2 linked regions of the Neodiprion lecontei genome follow. The protein of the gene in region 1 interacts with the protein of each later gene in a pairwise test. Links are inferred from orthologs where the notes say so. Each region holds a gene or a part of one and is shown on either strand. Other genes may lie near its edges.

What was found.
Region 2: the proteins of abl interactor 2 (region 1) and membrane-associated protein Hem interact in a two-hybrid assay, tested with the Drosophila melanogaster proteins (2 studies listed by BioGRID). The link is inferred for Neodiprion lecontei from reciprocal best matches to the Drosophila melanogaster genes Abi and Hem.

Annotation. Positions count from the first base shown.
Region 1 is NC_060263.1:285,432-289,360, reverse strand, and holds the start of abl interactor 2, read right to left. Parts: upstream 2,971-3,929; 5' UTR 2,823-2,970; coding exon 2,810-2,822; exon of another isoform or gene 2,793-2,809; intron 2,766-2,792; exon of another isoform or gene 2,630-2,765; intron 2,081-2,629; coding exon 1,412-2,080; intron 1,290-1,411; coding exon 954-1,289; intron 368-953; coding exon 110-367; intron 16-109; coding exon 1-15. Other genes in the region: TELO2-interacting protein 2, read left to right, coding at 3,256-3,828.
Region 2 is NC_060262.1:26,028,092-26,032,020, forward strand, and holds the start of membrane-associated protein Hem, read right to left. Parts: upstream 3,114-3,929; 5' UTR 3,016-3,113; exon of another isoform or gene 2,940-3,015; intron 2,872-2,939; exon of another isoform or gene 2,861-2,871; 5' UTR 2,699-2,860; coding exon 1-2,698. UniProt on the Drosophila melanogaster protein: Plays a role during growth of the oocyte.

The sequences.
Region 1 (3,929 bases):
CATAAATGGCCACCACTGGAACAAGACAAAACGAACCTCCTACATTCCAATCATAAAACGGGGATAAAACTGATTAACGTAACTGAGTATTCGGTTTTATAATTTATACCTTTCTCAATATAGTTCTTTGGTACCCATCCAGGTAAGTCTTCCTCATCTGGCACAATCGGCATAATAGCACCAGATGGTTGCTGTGGTCTTCCAAATTGAGAATGTTCGTCGTGTTCAGGGGGTGGCGGTGGAGGCAATGGAGGGCTGCTTGCTCCACTGCTGCGGCTAACTTGATGAGATAGTCGATGCGGCAGAGTATGGTGACCACTGTAATTAGTCATTTCACCCCCAGAGCCAACTAGCGGCGAGGGAGGTGCTGTAAGATAAAAAAAAACATGATATGCAGATCATCTGCAAGTTAATCTGCATTTAATTATTAAGCAAAATCAGAGAATGTGTGCAGGAAACTATTTTATCACTGTTTCTGTTGTTCTGGCCATACAAGCCAACAGAACTCGCGAAACACAAGCCAGGGAAGGCTGTGACAATACACAACTGACAATTACTATTTTCTGAGAAATCATGCCAAAAATTTTTATCGTATTAATCATTCATTGACAAACAATAGTACATTGTGCATCAAGTAGGTAAAGTGGGTCCATTTACGCTGAGTGTAAGTTTACAATATAAGATGCACACGATACTTTATATACCAAGTATATCGCTTGCGCATAGATTGTTATCATAAAGTACACCAAAATGCACTTTTGAGTACTAGAACATCAAACTGCTTTGTTCTTGTACTTTAAGTTTGGAACGCAGTCAAAAAAAGGCGAGTAAATCATACTTGCATTACATATAGCATAGTTTAGTAGTGACAATACAACATATGGATCAATACCTGACGTTAGAGCTCGAAGTTAAATTATTTAAGTCATTAAGAGAATTATAAACCTACTTACGTGGCATGCTGTTGAGATGTTCTTGGACATAGCCTGCAGCTCCAGTGATACTGGGTGGAGCGGGAGGTGGAGTTTGCGGATGGCTTTGAAGTGGATGAACAGTTCCAACTTGGGGAGGTAGAGTGTGTTGAGTAAGAGTAGCAGTATGAGCTGTATGCTGAAGCCCATGAGAGGGATGCGGGGTGGTATGAGCGTGGAGTGGCAATGTACTATAACCGGGTCCTCGTTCCCGTCTAGGATGACCTAAGGGGTAATTGGGTGCATAGTGACTGGGAACTTGGGGTGGAGCCACTGCGGGTGGTGTTCTGTACTCACGGGAGCCCTTACTCAGTGTTCCTGAAAACAATAAGTGCCAATAGAAAGTTGATCAAAAATATTTAGAAAATATTTTGAATTCTAAAACTATTTGGTTTAGCTATTCAATGGCTACATCTCTGTTATTAAAACGAACTGATTACCTGTTCGGACTGTTTGTGGTGGAGTTGGTGGCTTCGTAGTAGGTGCTGGACCCACAATGACTGCACCTAAACCAGAACCAGTCGAAGCGGCACCGAGACTTTGTACACTGCCCTGGCTCCCCCCACGCTGTTTGCTTCTAGGAGTACCTCCGCTTCGTACACCATGACCAATCTCATCCAAGATGGTGTAATCAATGCTTTTCCTTACATATTTTATAGGTTTTTCAGGATTTGCCGGTGCAATAATCTTATACTGTCTCGTGGTCATTTTGTTCGCAGTAAGAACACCTATTTCCCTTCTGGCAACCTTTTCCTTGTGAATCATAACTGTCTGAGCAATGTGGTTCATCTGACTTTCCATTTCCGCAAGTTGCGAAGTCTGTAGATCCAACAACTGCAGAAAGTTATAAGCCAGCGTGTTTATTTGATATGCAACACTGGCAAGTGACTGAGTTGTGTAATTTTTAGTTTCTTCAAGAGCTAGCCGTTTGTTCTCGGCTTGGAAATAATTTGCCTCGCAATACTCTGCTACTCGCTCCAAATTTGTGTGACTATCGGCCAGGTGGCTTCTCCCATCGGGGATTTCATGGCGCAAAAGTGCCGCTAATTCTGCCATTACTTCAGAATCGCTTCCCACTCCTGAAGACACACGATACGAGTCTGAACTGCCTGCAATAAATTAAAAAATCAGTCAGTGTTGATCGCCTATTTTTCTATTAAAAAATAATGAGTATATTTGGATGCACATACAGGGTTGCCAAAAAAAAAAGGAACCGTAACTCTTTGATAGGCTCAGAATTTCTGATAACTTCGCATCGCAACAAACTATATAAGACCAATACTATTCTTAACCCTTAGTTAGATTTGTTGCTAGTTAATTATTAATTGAGAAGGTTAAGCCTGTTTCTCTAATTAATTACAAAACATTTGTAAGATAGGCAAAGCATAGCTGTGTGACAATTTCAGGTCTGCAAAAAGATTCAATTCTTAATGAATAATTGCAATTACTGTGAAGAGAGGATGCGAGTAAACTGTAGTTATTGATAACAAGTGATAGGTAAATGGGAAAGAATGTTTATTATTGCTGTTTTGAACATGCGAGAATTTTTTAGGAGCAAGTGAATTCAACAATACAGAGACAATCTCTCGGCCTAAAACGAATATTGATAGGTGATGAATATTAATTAGGAAGAGAATGGTGTCGAAAATGGTGCTTACGAATAGAGTCGCGGTCAAACAGGGTGAAGTGAGCAATTACAAGATACGTGTCAGTGTGGTTACAATCAAGATGGGCGTGACAATGCGTGTGCCTCACGTCAAAAGCAAACGACAGCGCGGATACTGTGGAACTGACGTAGGAAAAAGTAGCTAAGAAAAATATTTAGAAAATAAACTAACGGTACTCAGCCATTATCAACAAACAGCTACTACTGCTGGTTGCATTAATTCATATTTACCGATATTCTCAATCAATATATTAACCAGAGAGTATTATCAAAAATCAAATAATCAACCGATGCTCACTATGCAGCACTACCGTAGCGTAGGAACCGAATTTAGTGAATCCCGTTTATAGTCTATGCTCAATGATCCAACATCCGTATTAAGCATGGTCTACGGTCTATGTTCGACCGATCGGCCCTCGAAACATAACTCGAAAATCGAAAATCGGACGATCGCGCCTCGCTGATCGACTCTGTCCCTGCGATATGCGTTGTGCGGGATGGTAGAAAATCTTGAATCAAATTTTAAGGTTAACAGATAGAGGAGCGGTCAAACTCTTTTTTTATAGTCCTCCAGGGCGCTGCCGCAATCTTGTAATTTCTAGGAAACCGATCCGCTCTATGATGAACGACCTGCTCCGTGAATTGGAGTCGATGAAGATAACTGGCAACACATTAAACGACGATTTATGGAGAAGTTGCGTTCAGCTGACCGAGGGCACGTTGGTACCGTGTAAAAAAATTGGAAATGAACGACCCTGCGAAGAAAAGGATTACAGTGAGTACAGGCAGATCGTAAACAGAAATTTGCGGAATGTGGAGGCTACGCTTCGTCACGTAGCAACGACTTTTGGGGAGCAAAACGTCAGGGAAACTGCATCGCGGAGTCACCCCCTTCGCACTTACCTGATAAACTTGATTATCATCATCGGCGAACAGAGCGAGAAGAACGTGTGGAACACCGCAGAGTCGGTGTCCATAGTCAGCTCCATTCAATCTAACCTCTGCGATCTCTGCAAGTGTCGATCCATGTCCGAGCTATTAGTCGGAAAGGGAGGCGAGGGATCTAGTGTGGATGGCAGTGGCGTAATTGAGGCAGTGCTCCTCGTTCTTAGGCCAAAGCTCTTCAAGGATACTTGGAAGAATTATCCTGCGGCTGTAATTTGTTACAAGTGGATATTATGGCAAGTAGAGGTTGGTCAAACCCCTGCACTCATGACTTTTGGTTAGTTATGTGTTGATATCAAAGAATTTCTTTCAGTTTCAAAGTTTGTAACAACAACGTAACAAACATA
Region 2 (3,929 bases), on another chromosome or scaffold:
CGACTTGCTGTAGCCTTTTGAATTGTTCCTTCATCACTTCAGGCTTATCAAAATTCGTTCTCAATGCAACTAAGACGTCCTTATTACCAGCTACTAATTTTTTCAGTTCTTGCACCTGACTCGCGATGTGCCACATCAGTGTTTCATTCAACATTTTCATACCGTAAGGTCCAATCAGTTCGGCAAGAGCCCTGAGTTCGTTGATATCAGAAAATTCCTCAGCGTTGAAGGGAATCGCACTCTCGGCTGTGAGGCTGACGAATGCTCTTTGATTTCCTGAATAGCAAATGTTTCCTGCGCTTACTCGTCTCAACAACACTTCGGAGTACCACTGCATGTACAACGAAGCTATAGTTTTGTCCCCGTGGCTATCGAGCTGTTGAGTTTGTTGCAACAAAGCATTATTAAAAACTCTAGTTATATCGATGTGAACGTAGTTTTCGACAGTTTGCAATACATTCATGTAAGCTCTAACGCTGACAAATAACTCTGATGGTTTAGCAATGACGCTAGTATCCGGATTGAACATCACCATACCAACTAAAGCTTTGGCGAATCGTGTTTCCAAGTGTTGATGTAAGTACTCCCTAGGAGCAAATGTATATTCCCACACATTGATGGTGGGGCAAGAATTTATTGCGAAACACAATTCTGTTAGAGCCATGTGAAGTTTGTCCATTGTCGTAAGGTCTTCTCGCGTTTTTCTGTAGCTTTCAATACCGGGTTTATGAATCTCGTACATATTTTTCTTGTTCTTATCTTTTTTCTTGCGATTCACTACTTGAGATATTTGCGCTGCACAGTGCTTAGGCAGAAGCTTATCTGACATTGTACACTGCTCGTCGCAAATTATGGTTATTATATTTTTAGCCTCTTTGGCCATTTCGTCCAAAAACATGTTAACAACAGACAGACTTCTTTCTCTGATATGATGACGTTCTTCGGGGCAAAGTTCATGCGTACAGCTTTGAAAATGGCTACACATCAATGGAAAAGCAACAATGTATCGATTCTGGGCAGGAAATTCTAAACACATGTGAAATTGATCTTCGAATATCTTGCTGTAAAAGCAAAATATCGAGAGATCGGAAGTTTCCACCAACATCTCGTCTAAATTGTCAACCATTTTGGTGTGAAAAATAATACCGTCCATAAACGAAGCCAATTCCCTGTTATCCGCGAGATTCATATTGCACTTTGCAACCGACATATAAGCCTGCAATCTAAACCAGTCAAGCCTGAATGCACGAAAATCAAACAACTCGTTATCCTCGACCTGTTTTACTGTTAAACTCGCAATTGAAGAGCACATGTCGCTCAGAATGGCTCCTTCATCCTCAGGACACACAGGCAAATTTTGTATCATTTGATGCAGAGCTGGTGCGTCAAATCCAGCCAAAAATTGGACGTAATATCGTTGCAGGACTTGGGAATACTTTCTAACAAGAGCGCGCAATTCCTCGCAGTGAAACAAGAGTTCAGGGAGCTGCCTGTCGACGAGGTCATCGCCTCCACGACCCTTTCCTTTTCCCTGAATAGGTGGATTGTCACCGTGTCTCAAGAGCCACAGCACCTCGTCTCGGGCATGAGATAATCCCATGAACACTAGCAGAGCTTTTGGGCCCAAGAGCCCTGGATGATCGGATAATATCAGCCCCAACTCCTTCAGGGCTGTTCTCAAAAATTTTCGCCTTTCTCGATGCCTGTGTCCAGCTTTCTGAATGGCTTGACTGTAGCAGTCCTTCACTTCAGATACTCTCTTGCTGTACCCTTTCATGCTTTCAAAAAACGACTGAATGTATTGGTGAATATATATGACTTCGTCTCTAAACAGAGCTAAAACCCATCCTGATTCGAGGGCGGTGGTCCATAGTTTACTGGGTTGCTCCTGGTTGAGGACCGTGTGACAAAGAGTGAAACCGAGGACAACCCATCTTTCTAATCTATCTAAGCTCAACGTTTCACAGGACATCGTGTCCGTAACGGCAGCTTTAAGCAGCTGCCCTGGACTACCGACGAGGCTAAGTTTCTTGTCGGCTCTCCATGTGTCTGCCGATAAATTTCTTCCAGGGTAAATTGGCCACAGCGACATCAGCGCATTTATCAGTAATTTACCATGCGGCACAAACTCTTCGGACAATTTCTTGAGCGGCGCATCGTAGTCCATGATCATCTGGCCTAGTCTCGGAAAGCTGGGATCTGACTGGCTGTGGACCATTTCGTGGGCCGCGTTGAACAGGCCTAAGACAGCTTTTCGATCCTCAACTCTGGACAGAAGTATCATCAGGCTTACGTAGGTGATTACCAGGTCCAGGTAGCCCTTTGTCACGTCAAAATTTATCGTTATGTCCATGTGAACTCCGCAAGCGTCCATCGTAGTCAGCAGTTCACAGACGTTGTCCTTGAAGTCAAGAAGGTCAACAAAGGTGTAGTAGTAGAGGGACAGAGACTTGATAATCTCGGTGCGAAGGTTCGTTATCGCAGCCAGTCCCTTGATGTCGATATTGGGAAATCTTCGGATTATGTATTTAATCGCAGACTCCAACGTTTTGTCGGACAGAAACGCAGGCTTGGATTTGGCATCGCCGCATGCTTTTTTTATGTTGTAAATACGAGTAAGCATACCGGTGCCTCTGTCGTTCAATATAGCCAGTTTCTCAGCCAGCTTCTGCTGGCTAGGAATAATTGGTCGCGCCATATTCGTGGCCTGCTTGTCAATGAACGGCGGTGAATCAGTAGAATCGCCTCATAATTTATTGAACCAAGTGTCAACTGTGTTTCCGGATGACAGGAGACCCCACCCAGGGGTAGCTTGTAGGCTTGACAGGATTTCCAACGTAATTTCGGCGCACAGCGATTTCTGAAATATAACTGATCGATTATACTAACTCGAGTGAGCTTTTTTGACGGTTGTACAACGAAGTGAAATGTTTTCTTACCAAATTTATCATTTCATTGCAACATTGTCACAAAATTATTAACACCCACTACACATCGATGTGTAAACTTACTCACCACTTTAAGTTATCAGTCCTTAAACTCAGCTGCGGCGCTCTCTTGTTCACTGCATCCAACTGCTGTGTGGGGAAATATTCCTCACTAGGTTCCTCAATCTCGCGCAGGCAGTCGGTATGAATCGCTTTTACCAACCGAGAGAAGGGGCAAACCATATGACCATACCGAATACGTTAATGAGAGTATTTTGAAGACAAAATCCATCACGCGTCAAAAAGTGCACAGTGCAATTCCATATTACGGCGTATCACAGAGTATTGTTATGTAACTGTGGATATGCTACATCTTTACGTATTTTTCCGCCTTATGAACTCGCAGTGAAATAGTATCCGCCTGAGCATAGGCAATTCACATTACTTCCATAAGTTCGCAATCAGAAGTTTGTCTTGTAACTGGATTCGAGTCCATGCGTTCTCAACAAAGCTTGTAATTATTAATTGTTTACTTTCGCACACAAATATTGAGCGGGTTTAAGTTTCCATTGTACACATAGCACTACTGTTGTTCACTGACTCGTTTCTAACTGGTCTTTAAAGCTTGGTCGATGTGGTCAGTTGTCTGTACACAAGAGGATCTTCTATCCCGTTGTTCCGCCACGCCGCACGCTGGCTTTAAGATTTCAGTAGCTGGTGTGAAAAAAGTGAATAATATTTTATGACAATAATAAAAAAAAAAATCAAAAATTCACCAGAATGTTCATACCAAAACGTGATTGAAATACTCGGACATAAAATAGAAACGAATCGAGGAAAGGGTTTTTAGGAATCACAAGAACATCCGTTGAAAAATCTTATTGGCATTGTTATGTACAAAAATTAGATGAATGAATCTTTATACAAAGATGTGAAGAATGAAAAGCTTGAGAAAAAAATATACGCACTCCATTGAGGTGAAATTATTTTTGCTATTTCCCT